2 linked regions of the Mytilus edulis genome follow. The protein of the gene in region 1 purifies or fractionates together with the protein of each later gene. This does not show direct contact. Links are inferred from orthologs where the notes say so. Each region holds a gene or a part of one and is shown on either strand. Other genes may lie near its edges.

What was found.
Region 2: the proteins of protein NEDD1-like (region 1) and gamma-tubulin complex component 4-like purify together in Homo sapiens (affinity purification with mass spectrometry; 3 studies listed by BioGRID and IntAct, with this or other methods). This does not show direct contact. The link is inferred for Mytilus edulis from reciprocal best matches to the Homo sapiens genes NEDD1 and TUBGCP4.

What each region holds. Positions count from the first base shown.
Region 1 is NC_092344.1:14,863,807-14,877,402, reverse strand, and holds the start of protein NEDD1-like, read left to right. Parts: upstream 1-7,810; 5' UTR 7,811-8,075; coding exon 8,076-8,223; intron 8,224-9,215; coding exon 9,216-9,310; intron 9,311-9,744; coding exon 9,745-9,861; intron 9,862-10,428; coding exon 10,429-10,569; intron 10,570-10,918; coding exon 10,919-11,148; intron 11,149-13,596. Other genes in the region: methyl-CpG-binding domain protein 4-like, read right to left, coding at 650-1,066, 7,672-7,721. UniProt on the Homo sapiens protein: Required for mitosis progression. Promotes the nucleation of microtubules from the spindle.
Region 2 is NC_092347.1:34,713,316-34,725,906, reverse strand, and holds the start of gamma-tubulin complex component 4-like, read left to right. Parts: upstream 1-7,099; 5' UTR 7,100-7,155; coding exon 7,156-7,230; intron 7,231-7,996; coding exon 7,997-8,132; intron 8,133-8,446; coding exon 8,447-8,607; intron 8,608-10,336; coding exon 10,337-10,393; intron 10,394-12,591. Other genes in the region: large ribosomal subunit protein uL4-like, read right to left, coding at 145-269, 728-973, 1,448-1,622, 3,318-3,320. UniProt on the Homo sapiens protein: Component of the gamma-tubulin ring complex (gTuRC) which mediates microtubule nucleation.

The sequences.
Region 1 (13,596 bases):
ATTCACATGATACATAGCTTACATTTCTATGGCTATAATTTATTTACAGAAAGAAATGTGTCTTGTTCATGATTACAGCTATATATATATGAGTGCTAAATAAAAATTTAAATACTGTATAAATTTATATTTGAATAATCTTTCATACATGTAACCTACAACATACATGTAGTACTAATACATCAATTTTTCAAATCTTGACATATAAGTAATTGGTATTGTTATTTACAAAATGCAGATAACCATAATTTTAATTCTGTTTCATTTATCATTTTGCAATAATTTAGATTGTATATAGAATCATTAAAAACCTTTTTCTTTATATTCAATCCTTATTTTGTTTAACAACACTTTGAAAATAATTGATAAGCTGACCTGTACCTTACCCAATAATTATATAAGTAGTGTGTGTGTAAGTGTCTAAATTTTTTCACGTTTCATAGATCTACAAAAAACATTAGTTGATTGCCAATACTTTGAGGCAGTGAGCTTGTAACCTCCTTGGTTTTGATCAAAACTCAGGTTTAACAAATAAGCTTTTAGGCCATTAAATTTCCTTAAACATGTCAAACTAGTAGTAGCTAGTCTATGAAATATCTCATCTGTTGAGGGTGAATTAGATTTATCTAATTTTAAGTCTATGCAATACCTTATTTGTTCAGGTGGTGCTTGTATTTCAACAACGTCTCCAGGATCTGCATATGCATGATCATTAACATGTGATTCTGCCGTGTCTCCTGGAGAATTGTCTGCCTCCTCACCATCCTCCTCCTCCTCATCTGGTTCCCTCTCCTGTGTAGTAAAACCAACAGCTTCTTCTCCAGGAATAGCTGTCCATCTTGTACTGAAATCAATCGACAAACTATCTGGTGCCGGACTATCGTCGTCTGACCTTCTTTCCTGGTTATCGTCAGGATCGTCATCAATCTGATACTCCATATCTTCCTCAAATGTCACATGACCACTTGATATGTTTGTATCCTCGTCTGATGCAGTATCATCATCATCCTCGTCATCTTCTTCTTTATCTTCCAACTCTGGGTCAGCAATTAATGGCATAAACCCACTATAAATAAAAATAAATTAAAAACTATTAACTAAAATCATCAATAAACATGATTAAACTGAACTTTAAACTGAACGTTAAGGATAGTTGATTCAAAGAAAAATAAGACAAGGTAAACCAAATTTCCGAAAGGAAGGTGTGGCAAACAGATATAAAACATTACTATTTAGGGGCCAGCTGAAGTCCAACTTGGGGTGATTTTTCTAACAGTATTAGTGACCTTAGCTGTTTTCTGCTCTTTGGTCAGGTTGTTGACTCTTTGACACGTACCCTATTTCCATCTCAATTTTATATTGACAAATAATCATAATTTCTTGTTTGGTGCTGTGATTTCTGTTTGTCTCAATCTTTTTTTTTTAAAAACATAATTCTTGAATACTAATATGAGGCAGGCATTACCTGTATTAAAATGGGGACGAAGTTTGTATGATTTATTTTTTTGTAACTTAAATATTTGTTAAAAAAAAAAACTTTTCCGATTTTGGTTCTGTTGTTGGGGATTTTAGTTGTGACGTTATTTAAGTAATGACGTCATATGCAATGTAAACAAAGCTACGCTATCATCAGGTAACGTTTTTTCATATCAAGGAATTACATGTATTAACAAATGATTAAAAATGAAATTGGTATTGCGTTTCTTCCTGTTTTATACTAGACTGATAAATATATATATTTTACTCAAAGTTTCATACAAACGAGACAGGGAAAAGTAAGTACATTGTAGATTTCTGCGCAGATGTGGGAATTCAAAACATGACATCAAAAAAATTGAACGATTTTGAGTTCATTAGTACAATGAAAATTTCGGGAATTTTCCCGATATTTTTTTTTTATTTTATTGCTTTAAATAACCACTGAAAGATAATTATAAGGTCATGAATTGGACCATCTAAAAAATTCATTATTTTCAGCAATTTTCAAGAGAACATTTGACAATTCATGTCAAGGTAAATAAATACATGTACATGTAGACAGTAGTCCTACAATTTAACAGTGTGAAGGAGTAGTTCAAGTTTTTTGTTCTGGCAAATTATTTTAAATATAAATAAACGACCAACTGTAAACTACCATCTTAGAAAAAAATCGTGTGTTTACAGTGAAAGATTCCAGTATAAATATACACATCACTACCGGAAAATCACCATTTTCCATGTGATTGGTAAACTGGACTCAGGTGTTGCTTTGCTCTCAATCTAATGTGGCAAATTACCAATCAATGGGTGGCCAGTTAATGTGTTTGGTTGTTAAAAAAAACAGATATTTTACAATTATAGTTATTTTTTGTTGGCATACTGTTAAGATTTTGTTGCATTTTAGCCATATTGAATACTTCTGATGGAAATTCATCTGACTGCCTGGTCTGTGGGTTTAATTATGTATAATGTATTCCTCAAAATTTTTCTTTTGGAAATTTCTTTTTAAGAAATGAAAAAGTTTTAGGATCAGGGGGTTTAAACTAGGGTTCGTCGAGTAACTTGAACCACACATATACTAATTACTTTTATTTGGTTATGTCATAATATATGAAGGTATGGCTTAAAAATATTTAATTTGTTGTTTATACCCTCAAGTCCAGTTTCCCCTTGGCTGGTAAGTTTGTTCATTTAAGTAAAGAACTTAATATGGGGACGAAGACCCAATTATGGTAGAAAAATTAATAAAATTAAAAATTAAAAAAAATCAGGAAAATTTTTCATTCTACTAATGAACTCAAAATCGTTAACTTTTTTTCAGACTTTTTTAAATCTCCGCATCTGCACAGAAATCTACTTCCTTTTCCGGTCTTGTTTGCATGAGACTTTGAATAAAATATGTACTTATCAGTCTAGTAAAATATAGGAAGGAACTCAATAAACCATCTCATTTTTAATAATTGTTTGATATGAAAAAAAAACGTTCCCTGAACAGCGTTTCTTTGTTTACATTGAATATGACGTCATAATAAAAATAATGTCACAACTAAAATCCCTAACAACAGAACCAAAATCGGAAACGTTACGGTATTTCCATTTTGAAATTAAAATATGGTTGAATGAAAAAAAAAAAATCATACATTCTTCGTCCCCATTCACAGGTAATGCCTGATTCCTATTATTAAATGAACAAAATTACGATCTTGAGCCATGTATCTATGACTATGAAGACATGGTCTGATAATACGTCTGTTGTAAGTCATATGGATTCGTACTACATGTATGGATGCTTTTTCGGTGGAAAAAGTGACATCACAATGCATCAAAGTTGTATCAAAGTTTTTAGAGAGAGCCATCTTCAAGCAGCTAGTTGATTTTTTTCAAATTAAAAATATATTTCACCCATATTTGTTTGCCTTTAGAGCAGGATACTGCTGCCAGACAGCACTTTTGAAAATCATTGAGGATTGGAAGAAGGCTATTGATGATAATCAATATATTGCTGCTGTTTAGTCTTTGATTGCTTTCCTCATAATTTATTAATTTTAAACTAAAGTCATATGGACTATCTGAAACAGCTTTAAGCTTGATAGACAGTTATTTACATGTAAGTAAAAGAAAACAATGTGTAAAAGTTTAGATATAAGTATCTAGAAAGATATATATAAAGGTGTGCTGCAAGGCTCTATTTTAGGACCTGTAGGCTGTACTTTTTAATATTTTGTTGAATGACATTATTCATTTTGTATCAAGCAGTTCATTGTATAATTATGCAGATGACAATACTTTGTCATATTCACACACTGATTTACACTGTGGTAAATATTTTAGAAAAAGAAAGCTTAGAGCTAATAAATTGGTTCAGTCTAAATCATATGAAGGCCAACCCGACAAGTTTCAGGCAATAGCAATAGGCAAGAAAACTGAAAATAAAAACATTTCATTTAATTTAGATGGTAATATTATACATAGTGAAAAAGAAGTGTAATTACTTGATGTTACAATTGAATATCAACTTAAGTTTGATGCCATATTTCTAACATTTGTAAAAAGGCATCAAGACAATTACATGTACTTAAACGTATTCATTGGTAAACATTTAACAAAATTAGGTAGACTTACAATATATTATTCATTTATCATTGTTTTGTAATATGGCACTTCTGTGGTGATTGTAATACCAGAAAAATAGAGAAAATACAGGAGCGTGCCCTAAGATTTATATTATATATGAAGAGTATTGTAGTACTTATCAACAACTGTTAATTAAATCAAAATTACCAAGTTTAGAAATCAGAAGAATTAGAATAATAGCAATAGAGGTATATAAATTTTTTAATAAACTATGTCCATTATATCTACATGAACTTATTGAAATTAAAAAAATGTTATTACTCTTTTAGAAATAACAACATAGCAGATATGTTTCCAGGGTAAGGACAACTACCCATGGGCTACACTTATTCAGATATGCAGGAGCCAAACTCTGGAACGAACTGCAAAATAAAATGAGGGAAGAAATGCCATTGGGTCAGTTTAAAAGTTTGGTTGGTAATTGGAAGGGCAGTTCGTGTCAGTGTTCCTCCTGCAGATCTCAGTGAGCTGTAGATCAGTTTATTTATTTACATGTATCTTGTATACTCTGGCTTTTAAATTTTTAGGCATAATTTTTTATTTGTGTTCTAAATACGTGAACTACTTTTAGTGATTTATAATAGCTATTGCATGAATGTTAGTTATCTGCATTTTATGTTTGCTGTATATGCTTTAATTGTGCTTATTAATTGCTGTGCTTGATAACATTATTTATTTTGCATGATGTGCTTTATGTTTTATTTGTTTTATGTATTGTGCTTGTCATATATCCTTCTTTATTATATAGGTACCAGTGTTCTCCTTTTTTCACTAAGGTAAGGTGGGTGTTTTGAAAAAAAACACTTGCAACCGGTTGATTTTTTTAACATTTTCAACCGGGTTTATTTTTTTCAGTTTTACTGTGGGTTCGGGTCACAAATAGAATGATAAGTATTGTGTTTACATTTAATGGAATTGAACCATTCTTCTGCTATCACTGCCAGCCTTTCATTAAATGATTTGACAAAATAGTTTCGTGCATATCGGATAGCAGTTCATAATTGCTTTTGCAGGACTCCCTCCTCCTACGAAGTCTGCTAATGCATGGCCTATCAAACCAAGTTTCTGTCCTGTTCCTTGCTTTGGTGCTGTTTTGGCACACAGAACAGTAATATCTTTCTGTGACGATATCCATTGAAAGTCCTGTTCATATTTATCACCACCCCTCAAATGAGGGGTAATCTCTCAATTTAATGACTATCCCTTTTATGAGGGGTACATTTAAAAGGAAACAGATGAGGGGAAACCTCTTAATGTAATGACTATTCCTTTTATGAGCATTGAGGGGTACATTTAAAGAGAAACAAATGAGCACATATTTGTTTTGGGCCTTTTTAACTCATTATGGACACTCTTGTAGAAAAGTTGTACCAAATAAAACGATTTCCCCCCTTTTAAGGTAATAAATCTAAGTTTTTCTTTTTCTTTTCTTCCGAGTTTCTTCCACAGTAATATGACCCCTTTCCTGATGGACAGTCCCTCATTTGAGGGATATCCCTCATTTTGGGATTGTTCCCAACCTGTTTATCTTCGCGATCACCTGTGTGCCGATTCTGTTGTTTTGATACTTTTTTTTCAATTTCAACAATTTCAATTCAACTATCCGTTTTAGTTGACTTATATGGCTTAGAATTTTTCTGGTCATCTGCCTTTCTATTCCCCCGATTAATAAAAGAAAACATTGAAATTTGACGATCCGCCATTTTTGTCAATGAAAACAAACTGCGAGGCGCGATTAGTATTTAAATTTTTACGGTGCGGAACCGAAAAAAATCCGGAATTTGAAAAAAAAAACCGACCACCTCCTAAAATGGAAAGGTGGTCGGCTTTGAAAAGAAGGTGGTCGGCACACCCAGCTTAAATGCCGAATGTAAAACACTGATAGGTACACCAATTTGATTTTTAATTCATATGGAATCATAGAAAAATTGGTCTGAACTAACCTCCAAACCATCAATGATTCTGTAATGAGGGGTACCCAAATTGCATCCATGCTTAAGTTCTCATCGTCAAAAGTTGAATAACAGAGCTATTGTTTAATTTTTTCAAATATTTTGAACAATTGGATATTTTTCCATGCTTACTCTTCATCTTTTTTAGATATGGATACTTGAAAGATATTGTATTTGCAAATTTTAAAAAGATGACGTTTCGGTACATTTTGCTTTTTTCAGTAAACACTTCATCTGTTGATAAATACTGTGAATTTTTTGTGTATTTCTAAATATTTTTGCCTATGTTGAAAGACGTGCATAGTATCAAATCATAAAAATACAAATTGTTTAGTCTCTAGGAAATCTTTCAAGATTTCCGCTACTGTTTTTGCTAAATAGGTGCCATTTGAGTACCGTTACGTTATACAATAGCATTTTAAAAATACTATAATTGTTTAGTCTCTAGGAAATTTGCACTGCTGTTTTTGCTAAATAGGTGCAATTTGGGTACTCTGTTCAATTTGGGTACCGTTACGTTATATACGATAGCATTTAGTAATATAGATATATATATATACAACACCTTGAGATGTGCATTTAAATCGTCTCAACCTCTAAAGAGTAATTATTCATCTAAATTGTCAACTTATTAATTTGAATCCTTCGTCAATGATGTAGAGCTTAGTTTTAATTTAAGGTTCATCATAACAAATGGACAAATATGGCCGTATTTTCAGCTCAAAAACTACTCTGTGTACAGACTTACCTGTGCTGTTTGGAAAGTTTTTATGCCTAGCATCCACTAGATATATAAAAGTTATATGCATTTTAGGTTTAAGAAAGATAAAATCTTTCTTGGTTTTTGATGGGCATTTTTTTTCCTTTCTGCAGAAGGTGTAAAAATAAACAAACACCTGAATTACTTTGATACTGTCCACTCACTGACTCAGATAAACTCTTTAACTCACCTAAAGTTGTGATGATACCTGTTGTCCATGTCAATTAAGGACAATCAAAACAATACAAACCGGTTTTTTACCTGAGGGAGCATCTCATAGTTGTACCACAACTTATTTAATTTTTACACCTTTTGCATGAAGGAAAAAAAATGCCCATCAAAATCAAAAAGACATTTTATCTTTCTGAAACACAAAATGCATTTAACTTTATTATATCTAGTGGATGCCAGGCATTAAAAATTTTCCAACTCCGCATGTAAGTCTGTACTCAGAGTAATTTTTGGCATGTAAATACAGTCATATTTGTCCGTTTGTTATGATGAACCTTAAATTATCATGTTAGTTTTTGGTTTGTCATGTAAACCATGTAAACAGGACTTTGTTATAATATTTGGTAAATTATGGGAAATTGCTTTTTAAATCCCTTGAGGAAGATATAAACGAGTAATGATACAGCTAAAAATACTGAAAGTTCCTTATTGTTGTCCATAATCTTTACTTCTAGTTTAATAATATTTTTGGTTTTAAGTCAGACTTTTGTAACATGTAACATAATGTATTCCATTCATCTGACTCATAGTGCAATTTTTTTGTGAAGTGCTCAAAATTTCCTGACGTTTACTACAGTAATTAAGTAAAATACTCATTAGCATTAAAAAACTAACGATGGTTGCATTGCAACAAACAGTTGTTCATGAGGTTCGTCGTTCTCCATGTTTGTTGTCCATATATTGGGTTAACTGAATTTACATATTTTAGTAAACAAAACGAAACAAGTGCGCCTTCATAAGTTCGTATTCCGATAAATAAATAATTGAAATGAGTAAACCGGAAGTCAAGATCATGGCGGGATTTTGCAGATCAACAAATCAAAACAAAACACAAAATAATGATTATTATGATTCAGACTCTTTTCTTTGTAAATGAAAATGGTATTTTGATATAACAATGCATTTATGTATTTGTGAGCTCAAATGGGATATATTTAACTGGGAAATAAACACTGTAAAACGAATTATTTTGCATCTTGGTTCAAAGTGATTGACAGAAAAATTGTAATGTAAACAAAATGAGTGCTTTAAAACTTGCTTCATGTGGAGATGATATAAAAGTTTGGGACACCAATAACTTCTCTATTGTGAGACAGTTTAATCCGCATGAACAGAACATCAGTTCCATTGCATGGAATGGCAAGAAGTCTACATGGAACAGTGATAGTATCCTTTAATAATTTAATTAAAACCAGTTCACTTTTAAGTTACTTTAAAAAACAAAACGTTTTTAATTTTCAAATACAGCACCTCATCTGTTAGTGTTAGTGACATGCTGGAACATCTTGGATAGTCTAACCTTCAACATTGTACAAGAACAAAGGAAACACAGCTGTATTATATAAGCTATAGAACAACTTATATAAAAATTGATACATCCATCAAGCTTATACATGTACTAAATGAATGCCCTTCCAGAATTAAAAACAAAATGGCACTTGGAATTCATTCATGTAAAACAACTGTATGGAAGGAGTCGTTCTATTTTCGAACAATCAGAGAGTGTTAACACCTTGTCCAACTATATACTGTCTCTACCACGAGTCCTGAATCTTTCAAGTCTCAGCTTCGTCATTAAATTAATGACATGTTATTAATTACACCCATTTTATTGTATCATATGATTATTGTTTGAAGTAATTTAGCTTTGTCACAGAGTCTTTAAAAACCTTGGTCCAAGATAATTCTTGGCTTCCAATGGATGCTTTCCTATATCTAAAGTAGGTATTTTTCTGTCCAAAATGATTTGCTGCTTTGTTGCTTCTTGAGACGACTGATGGCTTTTAATCCATATAAATCAGGCCTCAATCAGTTCATTTTATATCTCTTCATTTATGAAAATTTCAGCTTTACATGTATGTAGCTGACTTCCTTTACTTTATTTTTTTTTCATATTTAGACATATTTCACAGTGACCAATATTCAGCAAATCCATCATTTTTACTTTCATTTTCAAATACATTTACAATAATCTATACATGTATATATGACATGTATGAAACCTTGTTTAAATTAGGTGTATATTTAAACCCCCATATTTATTGCAATACATCTACATGTACATGTAGATTCATATTTCCACAATTTGACCAAAAATTAAATTTTGTGTATGTGTAAAATGTCAATATTTATATGATACTCCTTAATTCTCATGCCAGATTTGTTATTATGCAGTGCATCTTCTAAGAGTGATAAAATCTGTTTTACTGCTGTGAAAGATACAGCCGTAACAGTAACAGAATTTGATAGTCCTGTAAGTATATATAACAATGTGCCATTTCTTCAATTATGCTTGGTGTTACTTATGGAATTAATTACTTGCTGTTTATATGAAAACTTAACAAAACAACAGATTAAAGTAGGTGTACATGTGCAATTTGTGTCTGGTTTTATTAGCATCTTCATTATTGTTATACCTGAAAGTAAATCTGTACATGTATTTACTAACCAACACAACATTTTTATAAATAGAATAAAGAGGACCAAAATAATGCACTCCACTGCTTTTTAACAGCAAAAAGTCCGATGTTTAGAGAATTTGGCATTAATTAGCTAGTTTCCCTATATGATACATTTATTTTGCATCTCAATTCTGATTATTTATACATCCTCCACAGCTTGACAAGAGAAGTCCATGTGATATTGAATTTAAATAAATAATATGTTCTGAAGACTATTTTTTTACAGGCAGGAAGTTTATGTGTAGATTTTAACTCCACTTCATCATACCTGTTAGTTGGTGGAACAGACAGCTGTATCAATGTATGGGATCTGAAGTCACGGAAAATAAAAAAACAGTACAAGGTATGAGTGTATGGGATCTGAAATCACAAAAAGTACATAAACAGTTTGGGGTATCAGTGAATGGGGTCTGAAATCACAAAAAAATACATAAACAGTATAAGGTATATGAGTGAATGGGATCTGAAATCACAGACAAATTTAAAAAAAAAAAAGTATAAGTTATGAGTGTACATGGTGTATGGAATATGTCATCATGGAAAACAAACATTATAATGTATGACTATATGCATGTGATTTCTTGTCACAGACATACACTTGAGTTCTAAAACAGATTGAAATGAATAATTTGGATGAAGCTATGCACTTAGAAATGTAAATTACTTGGAAAATCTGCTCAAATCCTATATTATTTTTACAGTTATGCCCCCTTAGATTGATATAATATATTGGTTGTATTACAAATGGAAAATTTCAGAACCAGTCTTGTCTTACAGAATTATTGATAAATTTCATTTCTTTTTTAATGGACTAAATAATTTACTAAACTTTTTGTCAATACTTGATTGACTGTTAGAAAATTTACCTGTGCTAGTTGTTTCTAAAGATTTATTTTTGTCTAATTTACAGGACCATAAAGGACCTGTGACTTGTGCCCAGTTTAACTGCAATGACACATACATTGCATCTGGTTCTGAAACAGGAGAGATTATCTTGTTTAATGTGGTTACAGGTCAAGGTTGCAGTCCAATGGTTGCACCAAAGTGCCAGGTATTCCTATTTTTAAGTTATGTTGTATAATATTAATTATGTCTCTAAATCTATATACATACATAATTTGAATGCTGTTGATTCATTTAAAAAAAAGTTATTTTTGTGGGATTTTTAATTTATGTGGATATTGTAAGGAGGGGAAAACATAGAAATTAAATGCTTAAAGATAAGAACTATATTTTTAGTTTATTTGATAGATGCAAATAATAAAACCCTGAAATAAGGTACCGTTTAAAACTTAAAAAGTATGTTTATTGAGCAAAAATTATTAGAATATTAAAAATATTTACATTTTTGTGTACAAAATTAATCTGATAAAGTAACTCAATGTTTTTTTCTTTTTCAGACAGTACGTCAGATACAGTACAGTAAATTTAGAAAGTCATTACTGGGGTCTGTGTCTGATGATGGTGCTGTTAACCTGTGGGATATCAATACACGTAGACTGCTTCATAGCTTCTCAAGTTCTCACATTGCACCAGCCACGGGTTTGAACTTTTCTCCCATCAATGATATATTGCTGATGTCTGTAGGACTTGATAAAAGAATTGTATGCTATGATACTCAAGGGAAAAAGTAAGGATTACATTCTCCTTAGGTTTTGCATGTATAAAAATGTAGTATAACTTCTAAAGATATTTTAGATGTAAAATAGTTTGTTATTCATATCTAATAAATTATGGGATTTGTTAAACATTAACGTTTAATTTCTTCTATTGCTTAGTAAAATATGTTAATTTGTGAACAGCCATGTAATGAAAATGAAATTATCTCAGAAAAGTTTAACAGTATTTAAATGGTGGCTAATAGAAGAAAAAGCATAGTAATATCACATAATGTAAAGTTGAAGAACCTTAGATTCATGTTTCTTATGATAACTATTTGTATCACATCTATAAAACATTTACCCTGTTAAACAAACAAAAAGCCATCAGTGTTCTCCCCAGGATTTTTTTAAGGCGCAAAATTCAAGGGCGCGTAACTCTTTTTTTAGAGTGAACTTTTGTGATCTGAAGCAATCAGTCATTAATCCATGACATGCAATATGAATTATAATGCTTTGTGTTATGTGTTTGATAATGCAGAGTATTCAATAATGAATTACAAGAATATATATATATGAAATAAATTGATTTTAAACACAAAAGTTATTTATAAGTCAAAATATAAATATTCATCTCTGTATTCTCTGCTCCTTCTAGGGATAATTTTTCAAGATACTGTTATTTTGTTGGACAGTCTGTTCCTCAATTTTGTCTTTATCCTCTTTAGGGTTGAAAACCCCCTCTCACAATAACTTTTGCTTATACCCCCTTTAACATTTGTAAGCCATGAAAACTCAGTCAGCCACTTGTCATTGAAACCAGAAACATGGTGCTTGCTGTTATCACTTGCTAAAACTTAAGCTAGGTTGGGATTAGGAGAAGCAATGACATCTGCTTATACTGACAGTGAAGAGGAAGGTGTATTCCCCTTTTCATGAGAAGTCATTAGCGGCTGAAAAAAAACTTCTACTTCCATCATCTGCCTTTTGCTTAGAAGTCACCCTTTTGTTATTTGCAGAGAACATGTTCATTCAGAATTAGTAAAATCGAATATGGTTAAGATATTTGATCATATTTGGTATACAACTTTTTAAAACAAAAATATGTTAATGAACAGCTGACAAGTTTCCGTAGTTTTACATTACGCTTCCGTGTGTATTATTGTTAACACATATCTCTGGCTGGCGAACGGAATTTGACGATCGACGTTCAATGATCATTTTATTTCTAAAAACACGACAGTTTGAAACAATTTACCTTGCAAGTAACATTTTTTCACTTTATATTAAAATGAATCACTTCTCTTTATCTTTAATCAAAGTTTATTTTATTTTTTTCAATTACAAATACTCTCATTCATAATTTTTATCGTAATTATGTAAATATCTTTAGCAATGTGTATTCAAATTTATCATGTGTATTCATCACGTTCATTGGTCGTGTTAAAATAGATTCTTCTTCTCGACCAATGAAAAAATTCGTTATTTAAATGGTCAAGTGATCACACACACAATGCGTAAATACAATGTATTTGCGATCTATTTCTTCAATTTCTGCACTGAAGTTTTTATTTTTTTAAAATTTCTTCTACAAATATCTATCTTCTTGATGATCATGTAAGCTATTACATGATAACATAGTCCGATAAGGCCAGTGTTCTCCCCAGGCCGTTTTAGCGTCGCGGTACCGCGACGCTATATTTTTTCACCGTGATGCTATAATAATTCCCGCGACGCTATAATTATTTTGAAGATGCTATTTTACTTGTCCTCAATTTTGAACTTTCATCTATTATCGATTATGATCATAAAAATTATATCACCTTTAATTGTAATCCCTTTAAGTCGGACACTAAAGGCAATTAAGAGATTAAATAGCTAGGTGTTAATTGCCCTCAGGGTGATAACTGTTTGGATGCGAATATCCCAAGCTGACACTTGAGACACGACTAATACCACGTGTCTGCAATAACCAATTTCGACATGGAAAAATGCAATCACAAAACAATTCGAAATCTACGTTTTATATTACGAAATTTCAAAGATTGAATCAATTTTTAAATAAAAAGGTCGTTTATTTGTGCAACTCTCCAAAAATTACTTTCTTTCTCTTCCGGTAATAGGAGAGCGAGAATTTTGGTTTAGAGCTAAAATAAGTTTAATACTTCTTTAAAAAGTTATCATAATTGGCTTAAGTTTATATGTTTAATCCATTTAATGCATTAAAAGCGTCTTATTCATTCACAATCTCTTCTCAAACAATGTTTATTCTCGGACTCATTTTCGTAAATTTTTCTACAGCCGCCATTGCACATTTTTGTGTAAACTACGGATCGGAACCGGACCAGATACGACAAAAATCCGCATTTTCACGATAATGACAACAGATGGACAGTAGACAGAAAAAATATACCAAGAGAGAATACTATGCTTTAACAGACTATTTGTTAAATAACTTTGTTAAAAATACATATCATTTT
Region 2 (12,591 bases), on another chromosome or scaffold:
GGTTATAGTTATAATTTAGATTATACATCAATATGACCCAAGAAACATATTTCCTTCTTTATGTAAATTTCTATACTGTTAATAATTATCATGCTAGAAAAAGATATAGACAAACAAAATTAAGATTGTCACTCTAGAAGTTACCTTCTGTATATCATTCCAGGCTTTAACTTTTTTAAGTAGTGCAACAGCCTCTTTTGTTTTCTTGTATTCTTCAACTTTGTCACTGACCACCAATGGGACCTCTGGAATCTCCTCAATTTTGTGTCCTACAGAATAAATACAGATTAAATTCTCCCTCCTATGATCACATATTATAAAAGTTTGGCTTCGTACCATGCTGATATAAACTTCTTTTCAAGAATGTTGCTGGATCAATCTTATGTCACTAAGTTTCGTTCTGATAAGTTTTGTAGGTTTTATACTGCAGTGAAAACATTCAAATAGTTCTAGCATTATAGATATAAACTACCATGATTATGTATTGAACACTTACACAGTTGACTGCCACCAACTTTTTCTTATCAAAGCTGTGCCTGTCAAATGGATGGCTTTTTTCGATTGATACTTTTAGTATGGTAATATTATATTATTTCCATCCACAAATTTCATTGGTATGTGTAAAGTAAAATGAATTTGTAATCTTTAATATATTAAGATTTTTAGGGCAATAATAGCATCTGCATTTAGTGCATAAAAGAAAGAATACCCTCAAGGATAACATTACCTTTGGACATAACAAGAGCAGGTACTCCAGTGGCAGCAATGGCTGAGCAGATAGCGTATCTTTTTTGGTTAGTGTTTATTTTACGGTGCCATCTTCTCCATGTTTTTGTTGGTGCAAACATACGACCTCCACGACACATGTTTCCAAAAGCTCCCTGTCCAGATCTGTGAGTACCACCTCCTCTGACTCTGGGAATACGAGCTACAGCTCTTCCAGTTCCCCAAGATTCAGCTGAAGTCTGGTGACCTAAATTATACAAGATATTTATATATTAAAAATGTTACATTTTCTCCACTTTTAAAGTCCTATGTATTAATCTCTGTACCAAAGATGTGCAGAAGGTATTTGAGAATAAGGATATATACCTGTTATATATATATCGGAAACAAAACATTTTTCTTGCATGAAAAAATAAATGTTTATAACTTTATATCTTGGCTTATATTAATTATAGAAAGAAGTCATTACAAATCTTTCAGCTTTCTACACATGAAATATTTGAAAATTCATGTTAACAATCAATTCCAAATTTTCAATTTTAAATAGACATTTCTAAACAGATATCCAAAATAGCTTTGATAATTCTTTTCAACTGGAACCTTCACAAAGTCTTCAAATGGAACGTTTTGCAAAACTGACTTATTTGATTAGTCTTTGAGGTTTTATTTTTTACAATTGATATTTATTCTTGGAAGATGCATCTAATTAATTAACCCTTACCAGCTTTCTCACTAACAGCATATGGCTGTCTGGAGTTGAATCTCATTTGTGCATGTACAAAGGTGACAATGTCTGGTCTGATTGGTGCTCTGAAGACAGCTGGAAGGGTGACATTTGTTCCCGATGCATCCCCCTTCTCACCGTACACCGATATCAATGGTCTCGCTGCGGCAGCCTAAAATAACAAGCAAGTATTGCATTCATATCGTATACAACATAAATAGATTAAAACAATGCCATACCAGTTAATAATCCCTTCTACAATATTAAACACAGTAAAGTGAGTAAAGCTAAATTTCAAACACATGCATCTTATCATAATATGATAAACCAATAGTCTATTTACCAACTCCCATAATTGACCCTGTAATTAGAGACCTCTTTTTTTGTTGTCTCCCTTGTGAGGGACAAATTTTTATTGACAATGGAGAGCTTAAGTCACAGATCACAATTAATTCCTCATCAGTTCCTTATAACGTTTTGTATCCTTAAAAAAAATTGCAACATGCACTTTTGTCAATTTTTTAGTGTGTGTAATGTATAGTACTAGTCCAAATATATATCCAAAATTCAGAAAGATTGAAGCAATCACTTTTACAAATTTAGCCAATACACATCCATACCCCTATTGACAAGTCAAGAGATGTAATTATTACCTTTTTGCACTTGGCATAATCACTCATTCTATATCAAAATCAGTTTAAATACAACATTCAAAAATTTAATTCACCTCTCTTCTTTCATTTCCACCCCAAAAACTCTAAGAAATGAGTGAGGAAGGGAAATGAAAAAAATTATGGAAAAATACACTCTAATTAAAAGGAACTATATTCGTGGAGAACGAAAAGCAGGGTCATTAATTGTGGTCTTGGGCAAGGGGAAAGAGCAAATTATCCTGTGCGTATAAATGTAATATTTATGTTTTTCTTATCTGCTTATATTAATTTGTTGTATAGTTAAAATATACATTGTATTTTTGTAACCAAAAGTTATTATTCATGAAAAATTAGATACTTTTCATCTGATCATGCTTTGCATTGACAAAAGCGAATTTTGTCCGATATAGCATTGACAAAACCAAATTTTGTCCGATAAATGGCGATATAGAACCAGTCTACGATTAACAAAGGGAAGCTTAAAAAGGGTGCTAAAACAAAATCAAAGCAGTAATTCGCCGTTTCAGAATCTAAAGCATCATGGGTAATTTCATTGTTCGTACCCCAAAGTGAAAATAACGTTACGTCATTAGTTTAATTTCCATTGTTTATAACGTTTTAAACCAATCAAAATGCTTTGGTGTACGCTTTTGAAAATATTACCCAGGATGCATTAGATTCTGAAACGGCGAATTGGCAAATGGACTACTCTAAAAAGGCTAAATATAACAATAAATGTATGAATCACTTGAACCCTTATACTTCACTACTTGTAGGGCAATGTGTTTTATAATCTTAATCAAGTATAAAAAATAGTTTTCAATATCAAAACTTTTATAAACATCAAATAACAGGTTAGGGACATAATAACCTAATATTGCAAAAATTGGATATCAAAATAAAAGTAACGGTCAAAATTCCATATGGTTCACCTACAGAACACTCTGCAATATAATGTATGGTCAAGATGGATGACTGTGTATCATATACAATAACTCCTGAACAGTTGCATGTTTATTGCAAATATGGTCAATTGAATGAGGACGATGTGACCCGATACGATGTATATCCCCCCTTTTTTATGAATTCATGCCGGTGTCCTTTATTACAGGAATTTGAAGAGATCGATTAGTATATTGCGTTTAAATGAAGACTATTTTGACATTTTAGACCAACAAGTTAATGTTATCATGTTAAATATAAAGTTTTCGTACCATGCTTAATAATATTTGTGAGAGCAGAAAAACGTGGTCGCTCTGCTCGAGATAACGTGTAAAAGGATGCGGATGGATATCTTCGGGACTATTTTCCCGTGCAACTAATAACCAAAATAATAAGGAATACAGCATTAAACAACTATCTTCGTAAAAGTAAAGATGTTTTTATTCAAAACTGGCTCTGCATATCCCCTCAGTTGCCAATGATGATATTATAGGATAGCGATGCTTTACTAAACATCGTCTACACAATAACTCGCAATATTTATAATGTCCAACCATGCTAACTTTAGCATACTGTTTTGTGGTTCTGCTTTATTGTACTGATTTTGAACAGTGTAAATTGTAACTTTATATTGTCATATATATGCACTATGCCCCTTGAGCGGGGTACCTCTTATGGAAATAAAAGATATTCTATTCTATTCTATTCTATTCATCAATTTGTCAATATAAGCTCATAAATGAACTTGCAAGTCTATAATTCAATTTTATGTGAACCCGTATTAATGTGAACTTCAATTGAACCCCTTAGCTGGATATGGGTTACACATGTACTATACGTCAGTTCAATTATTTTAAGACAAAGAATGTCATCAATGAAAGTTAAACCTGGGAATAGTAACGTGACGGTACCCAAATTGCACCTATTTTGACAGTTTTTTCACCTACGTTTTTTTATGATCAAGAAAAAAATGTCCATACTGTGTTTATTTTGTAGCCCTATCCTTCTTTATTGTATAGGTACACCAATTTAATTTTGAATCCATTTTGAGTCATAAAAAAATGGGTTTGAATCAACCTCCAAACTATCCATGATTCTGTAATGAGGAGTACCCAAATTGCATCCATGCCGTTAAATTCACATCGTCAAAAGTCTAATAACCGAGCTTTTGTTTAATTTCTTCAAATATTTTGAACAAGTGGATATTAGTCCATGCTTATTCTTCATATTTTACGAAATGGATACTTATAATATATTGTATTTGCTAATTTTAAGAAGATGACGCTTTGATGACGTCGCATGATGACGTTTTCGTACATTTTGCTTTTTCAGTAAACAGTCCATCTGTTGATAAACACTGTGAACGTTTTGTGTATATCTGAATATGTTTACCTATGTTAAAAGACGTGCATAGTATCAAATCATAAAAATACTAAGTGATTAGTCTCTAGGAAATCTTGTAGGATTTCTGTTGCTATTTTTTCTAAATAGGTGCAATTTGGGTACTCGGTGCAATTTGGGTACCCTTACGTTATATAGTTAAAATATATGTTCCTGGTTAAACAGGTTGGACTGTTTGCGGTTCACTATTTCCGGGGCAATCATAAAAAATCATGTATTTAAACATGTTACAGCGATGATTAACATATATTTTAACCTCTAACATAATATCAACAGACATATAAAAATTCAATTGCACGTGCTCACAATCTATTCCTAGTTTAAATTACGTTTATATCGGCCTCGGCCGCAGTCTTCAGAAGTCATCTCGATGGTTGTTGTCTTTTTGACACATTCCTCATTTTCATTCTCAATCTTTAAATATGTACACGAAATGGGGATACATATATTCTTCCTTACTGATATAAAAGATCTAAATTGTCTAGCCCAAGAACAAATTATATTATAAATTATAAATCCTTGTCTAGCCGAAAAGGAGTAAGATAGAACTTAGAATTGTGGTATCATTGAAACTATACCACATATGTGTGTTATAGTCATATCACACACATATAAAAAATAATCAAAGATCAAATCTTGATATTAAATCAAATTATGTATAAGAAACATGACAAGTTCAGTTTTTTAAAGATACTTTATGATGATGAAAACTATGATACAATTTTTGTTTAAACATAGTTAAAAACAATTTCATAAATTTTCTAATATATCTTATCTCTGCATATAAATTTGCATTTGTTTTATAAAGGTGATTTTTGAAGAAGAAATAAAAACTTTTATACATTCAAAAAGTTAACTAAACAATTCGTTTGTAATTTTTCGTCCTGTGCATGACATTTCATCCTATCGGTGTTTTTTCCTTCTTTCATTTTTACCCTCTGATTGTATGCATAGTCGTTTGTATTCATGTCTGGTTTATCTATGTATGGATGTCATGGATGGGGAGCCCGCGGAAGATACCAAAATATCGCTTGTATGGATGTGGAGCCCGCGGAAGATACCATAATATCGCTAGTCTTCTAAAGCTTTACATGTCAGAAAGAATTAGGAAAAGTAATCTGTGATTCATTTCCTTTATGACTCAAATCGCATTGCAGTGAGGAGGATCTTTGGTTACTTTCTTTTAAAAATGTACGAGTGTTGTTGATCAGACGTACGATGTAACCAAAATTTTTACAGTAAGATTATAGAATTCATCAATAAGACGGAGAAGGTGTCATAGAAAAAAACAAAAGCATAAATTGAATAAACACTGTCACACTCCGGCTTAATTGTCAGAAAAGGGAATCGAGGAAAAGTCAAACAATAGTCTACAAAACACTTAGCAGAAATCTGAAGATTGAGCAATACGAAACCCACCAAAATCCCAGAATGAACTCATGTGATCAGGAAGGATAATTTATTCCTGCTCCACAAGCGACACATGTTGTGATAAATTTTCAGTAAACGGGAACAATCGTGATTACACTAAATTAAAATTTTGGTCTGAAATACCAGGAACATTTTATAAAATATTTGCAGGAGGAATCATAGTCATATAAAATTGTCATAGTGTGTTGTTTACTATAATAAATCATAATGTAACAGATGTAAAAATAGGATTTTACCAGGAAGGATTAGAAAATTTTCTATGGTCAGAGATTGAAAGTTAGCTAATTTTAATGAAATATCCTTCTTCCCTCTAGCTATTTAGTATACAGGTACTTTGGAAACCGTCTCAGTCTATTGAACTTTAAATTATATCATGTGGATATAACCTTGGTTCCGCACGAAAAAGTTTGTGACTGCGGGATATGAGTTTTTCAGTATAGATCATATAAAAAGCAGTTGTGTTATCTCTGCATAATTATATAAAACAAGAGCTGTATATAATATGATATTTTTTTTAATGTCACTGATACTGGAATAGTATTGACAAATTTGACAATGAGAGATTCCTTCATGGTAAATTTGCTCCCATGTCGGTACTTAACAATTAACCAACTTTAACACTGTGTGATCTGAGACTACTATAACACATATGTGTTATAGTAGTCTCAGGTGTGAATTGATTCATGATTTTCCCGAATATTTCTGTTTGATATATGATTTTCTGTAAAATAATTTATACACTGACTGTAAGTAAACAGATTATTCGCGAATTGACAGACACAAGATCTAGGATATATAATATGTTAGTTATAATCCATGATGACTTGAGTATACATTTTTTAGTTGTCTAAGAAAAATGTGACGGGTATAGTCAAACGCTTTGGATATGTAGCTTTATATGTATGTAGGTATGTATTTCTTATATCTCGATAAATAAAATCAATGAGGATTTAGGGAGCTACCATTTGATTTTTATGGGGGGGGGGGGGGGGGTTTGTTGCCTTTTATTTTGGCCGTTTTGAAATTATAAGCTTACATCGTTTTGTAAATTTTTGGTATTTAGCTTTTTTTCTTGAAGTTCAAAACACATTTGAAAAGTGTAAAACTATGATACCACAACTAATAGGTATCTATTCACAAGCAAACATGTACTTTAATATACCATCAATCATATTTCTTCGTAAATTGTAAGAAACTATTTTTTACTAATTTTGAAACGGAACTGTGTGAGCAAAAATTCAAGTGGAGACAACTCGGTTCACTACCGCCAAACACAAAATGTTACATGAAGTTCTGTTCGCTCTTTCTGGTCACTCTGGTGGTGTATTTATTGACAAAGGCGACGGGATACAAGTACTGTATAATTTTCAAAAGCATTATTGATTACTTTCACGACAATTAGCACATGATAATGCCACTTAAGTTATCAACAGGCTACACGTTTAAACATTTGTCATTTCTTATTTTATTTATATTTTTGTAAACAAATTGTATATTTTGGTACATTTTTGCACACTCAAATTGATTTGTCCCGAAAATATGGTGTTATATATGCTACTTGAAATAATATATATTAAGTATATAAGTTTAAGATATGAGCCATGTTTTTCTCATTAAAAGTGCAATATAACTTCAGGAAATTGATATAAAGCACTTCTGTCATAGGAATTGTGATTAAGTACCTACAGAACAAACATTATTTCTAGTTTATCCTGCACTATGACGATCACTAAGATGCTTGATGAACATAAATAAAGCAGGGATATCGGTGATCCCCTCTATCAGAATAATCTGGAAAACAACGTCTTAACGGGGCACAATTGATGATTTGTTTTCTGGTGAAGGACAAACTCGAAAGTGGTCTATTAGATTGGCATTTTAAAATTTCATTTATAAGTTGACAATATTAATGAGCCCAGGATATTATCTTATCTTTATTTGCATGAACTCAAATTATTTCATTGATCAGTTGACAGTTTATTGTCATAATCAGGACATCTATATATGATGGAGGGCTAATTAGAAGATTTAAAGTTAACCAGATATATCCACTCTTCTCTTCATGCTGAGGCAGATGAGACATGTCTTTGTTCTAACTGATGTATTTTCATTATTGTAGGTGTTGAGTGATGTTCCTTTCATATCACCATCAGAGGTGGATCAACTGAACAAACTTTGTAAACTTGGAACATTCTACAGAGATTTTAATAACTTCATTAGACAATATGGAGGACATCTTAGTCTTCAACCAAATGGTAAGTTGCCTTTGCCTGGAGAAATTTAAATCTTATAAAACTATATGTCATTACTGGCACTTATCATGCTTATTATATATTGCAAGGATGGTTTGAAAAATTAAAGGGGTCCAGTAGAACATGACATCTCAAATTTGAAAAAGACAACTTTTTGCAATTTAATAAAAATCTTTATACAGTTATTTGTATCAGATATCAAAATGCGAGCTTGTTATTGCGATACTCATTTCATGGCTTGCAATAATTTATGAATTAACAGTTGTAGCTTATGAAATGGTATTTAATAATTAAAACAATTTATGATTTCTTTGCAGACAAAAGAAAGTCTGAGATCCATGGTTTGTACCTGAAGTCTTTCTGTCATGGGTTAGATAAAGTTTTAGAGGATTACAGGGCATCCTTACAGAGACTCGAGATGGAAATACTAGCAGATCCAGACCTCACAATATCTCACCTTTACAGATCATTATTTCAAGTGTGTATTTATAGACCATGACGTGCTTATGTTGTTCATGATTGGAATGTTGTCCCTTTGACATAAACACCACATCTCTGTTTGTTTATAATACTTTAAAGCCTCTGGCCTTTGTTAGTCTTGTATTATTTTAAATTTAGTTTCTTGTGTACACTTTGGAAATTAGTATGGGGTTCATTATCACTGAACTAGTATATATTTTTTTAGGGGCCAGCTGAGGGACGCCTCCGGGTGCGGGAATTTCTTGCTACATTGAAGACCTGTTGGAGACCCTTTGCTGTTTTTTTTTCTATGGTCGGGTTGTTGTCTCTTTGACACATTCCCCATTTCCATTCTCAATTTTATTAAGATTACATATAAAACAACCATTCTAGTATATATACTACTTTCCCTTAACCAGAAACAAAATTAATAAAATGTTCTTCTAATTAAAAAAGTATCAAAACTTGAAGAAAAAAAATTGCACACATTATTTTTTGATATATATATATATCTATAAAGTCTCTGAATGATTGTATAATAAAAACTATAACACAAATTCCCATACTTTTCGGACATTACGGCCTTCTTCATTGGAATAAATTACAACATTGAAACAACAATTACATTGCTTGAATACATTACGTTATAATAACTTTTATGACGTTCAATTGCCGCGTTTTTCGCTTTTTTAATATAAATATTTTTATTATCGTTCATACATTGTGTTGAGTCCTTCAGGTTCTAAAGTTTTTAATTTCTTTATCCAAAAGGCTTCTTTAGTTTTTCTGTAAGTTTCTGTCCCAAATACTCTTTCTATGGCGGTAACTTTTAAATTTGTCATTGAATGATTCTTCTGAATGAAATGGTCGGCTACTGGAGCTTCTGTTTTCCTTGTTCGTATTTTTGAAAAGTTTAATAGCATTCGTTGATATAGTGTATCACCCGTTTGTCCTACATATATACATTTTTCACATTTTGTACAATTAATTGCATATACCACGCCTACGGTTTTACAATTTATTTGTCCCTGAATGGTATATTCTTTGCCGGTGTTGTCACAAAATACCTTGGTTTCATTTATATGTGAGCATAATGCACAATGTTTACCACATGGTCCACATCCATTAGTTTGTTTATAAAATAGTAAATTATGCTTTTTGTGCACTAAGATGTCTTTTATGTTGTTATCACGTTTAAATGCCACGATAGGCGGATCGGGGAATATTTTCTTTAGTCTTTCGGATTGATGGAGAATTTTAAGATTTTTTCTAAGAATTGAATGTACATTTGGAAGCGCTTTGGAAAAAGTAATTACTAAGGGTACCCTGTTGTTTTCTTTCTTCCGTTTGTACTGTAATAGATCTTCTCGGTTTAAATTGTCGACTTTTTTCAATTGAACTTCAGTGGACAAGTTATTGTATCCACGTTTTCTTAGGTGCGTTATTATTTCTTCTCTTCTTATTTTGTAATTTTCTTCTGTTTTTATTATATATATATATATATATATATTATATACAAATCTCATTAAAAATTTGTATTTGTAAATGTAGTATGTTAATGTTTATGACTTGGCAATTGGTTTGACTTTGAAGAATATAATAATATTAAGTATTGAACACTTTGCATTACACTGTAATAAATTGAAATTTATATGTGACATAGTTGGTACATGACCTTTCCTAATTGCTGGAGGACAATTAGACCAGTTTTTATGTGTATATGGTAGAAAAAATGTTTCTGTTTTCAGTATTTTTTGCTGTTTCCAGCATTATCTGCAATGGTAGAACAGATCAAATCACACAAGGTATTTTTATAATGGTTACTTTGTACTGGTATTAAACCCAACACAACATTCAAAATAATTCTGATTAGTAACACACTATTATTATAATTCCTATAAAATCCTTGTAGCAACCAGACCACATCTTCTATTCATATTGTTATAAAGATCAGATGTGGTATGTGATTGCCAACAAGACAGCTCTCCTCAAGAAACCAAATGACACAGAAATCAACAACTTGGGAGTAAAAACCTATACCCAAACTGTTTAAGTTCAGATTTGTCAGTTTCAGGAAAAAGCACTTTTTGTCTGCCTTTCTTTAGTCTCCCATAAAGACTGATATTTTATGTTTGTTAAATAATCACCATATTAGGCCAAAAATAAAATATTGTTTATTGCCCCTCACACGACCGACCCGGTAAAATCACCGCGACCCGAAAAATTTTATTGGCCATTCTTGTTCGTAAATACTTATTAACAGTATTTTAGGAAATACAAAACATGAATATAAAGTGAAGCCGTGTTTCTTCTAGAACTCGAAAAAAAACATACAAATCTTTGTTTAGGAATCAATTGACCAAGCTGCATGATCCAGGTGTAACTGAACATAACTAAATTAATATGTTTACTTCTATTGGATTTTAATTCATTGAATTTTAATTCCCAAGTGATTAACATACATGTATCTTTTTGTCATCTCATAATTGATGATCAAGGAATGAATTGGTGAACAAAGGAATTGTTTTGTTGTGAGTTAGTCATCAAATTGACTTGAAATAAACTTGATTTTTTGGGATACGATTGCTTTCAAGCAATCTGTAGATTTTTACCGCTGACTCAGGGCTGTATTCCCTCACGTCAACCATTTTATTCTAAACATTCAGCAACATCTCAGATTCTTATGAATGATTGTCTTGCTTTAAAAGGCAAAAACAGGCAAAATGATTGAACATAAACAACTTTCCTGTAATGTTCTTTTCATAATCTTCATGTTTGATATTTCCCTTGACCTATATGCGTGTTTTTAGCAACACGGAAAATCAGAATTTAGCAGTATTCATATTTAGTGTTTTTATAAATTTAGAAACACGTCAGAGGTAATTCCCCAGTTTTGATAAATGCGAGAGTTTTCTGAATTCCGATAATTCTATTTCTGTCATATAAGAACTGAAGTAGAGTTTTTCCAGATTTTACCGTTATGAAACTGATATTTGATACTGTACATTGCGATAAAGAAATGGAGAACCATTCATCATATCATTTAATAAACGTTCTTGTTCCAAATCGCAAGTCACGGGTTTGTTTATGTATTAATGCGCATGCGTATAGTTTTCTTGATTTCAATGAGTATCAGATTGAGTGGTTGCTCTGGATTCCCCGCTCCATTGATTAATTTGAAACTCATGGGATTCTTTCTATGTCTGTCTGCGAGATTCATGCATGTTCATGCTTTTTTGCGGCAGTATCCTTGGATCTATTTTTTTCCCTCTTTGATCTTTTCAATTTTGGCCAAATCTCACACATTTGCTTAATGAAAAGTTGGCAGAACTGCTCTACATGTGTCAATGAAAACTATGGCAATTGTATCCCTCAAAGCATTCTGCTCTTTGATTATTTAAAAAAACACTTGCTATCATTAAGCATTGTTATCACAAGTAGAATATGCACTTTTGTAGATTTCATTACATTAAATGAATAGGAAAAAAGGAGGTCCCTGTATACTGTTTTGTTTTAACACCAGACAAACTGAGGTGTACACTGAATTAGAATACAGGGAATACCCCACTTTTCTTGACTTTAACCTTACCTGTTGAATTTTATACAAATTCAATATAGAAAACCATATCAAGGAATAAAATAAAATAATTTGCCTACTTACCTACCTATACCCTAACAACCTCAGTCGGGTGAGGGGAAACAAAGATATTTTTAATGTTGGCCCTATGACAAGCTTTGCATGTGTTATTTCTGTAATATGCATCAATTTCTACAGGGTATATACTGTGACCTCTGTAAACCAAGTTTAAAGTCATGCAGGTAGTTGTGTATAGTATATAGCATTTTGATATAACATAAAAGTGGTCAGTTATTTACAAAAATATTTTGTGTCAGAATTAAATTACTTTAGTCTTGTGTATTTACATTATATTCAAATAGTATTATCATTTTATACGATTGTGAAGTTTCATACATCATGTACATCCTTTTATAGTGCTCTATG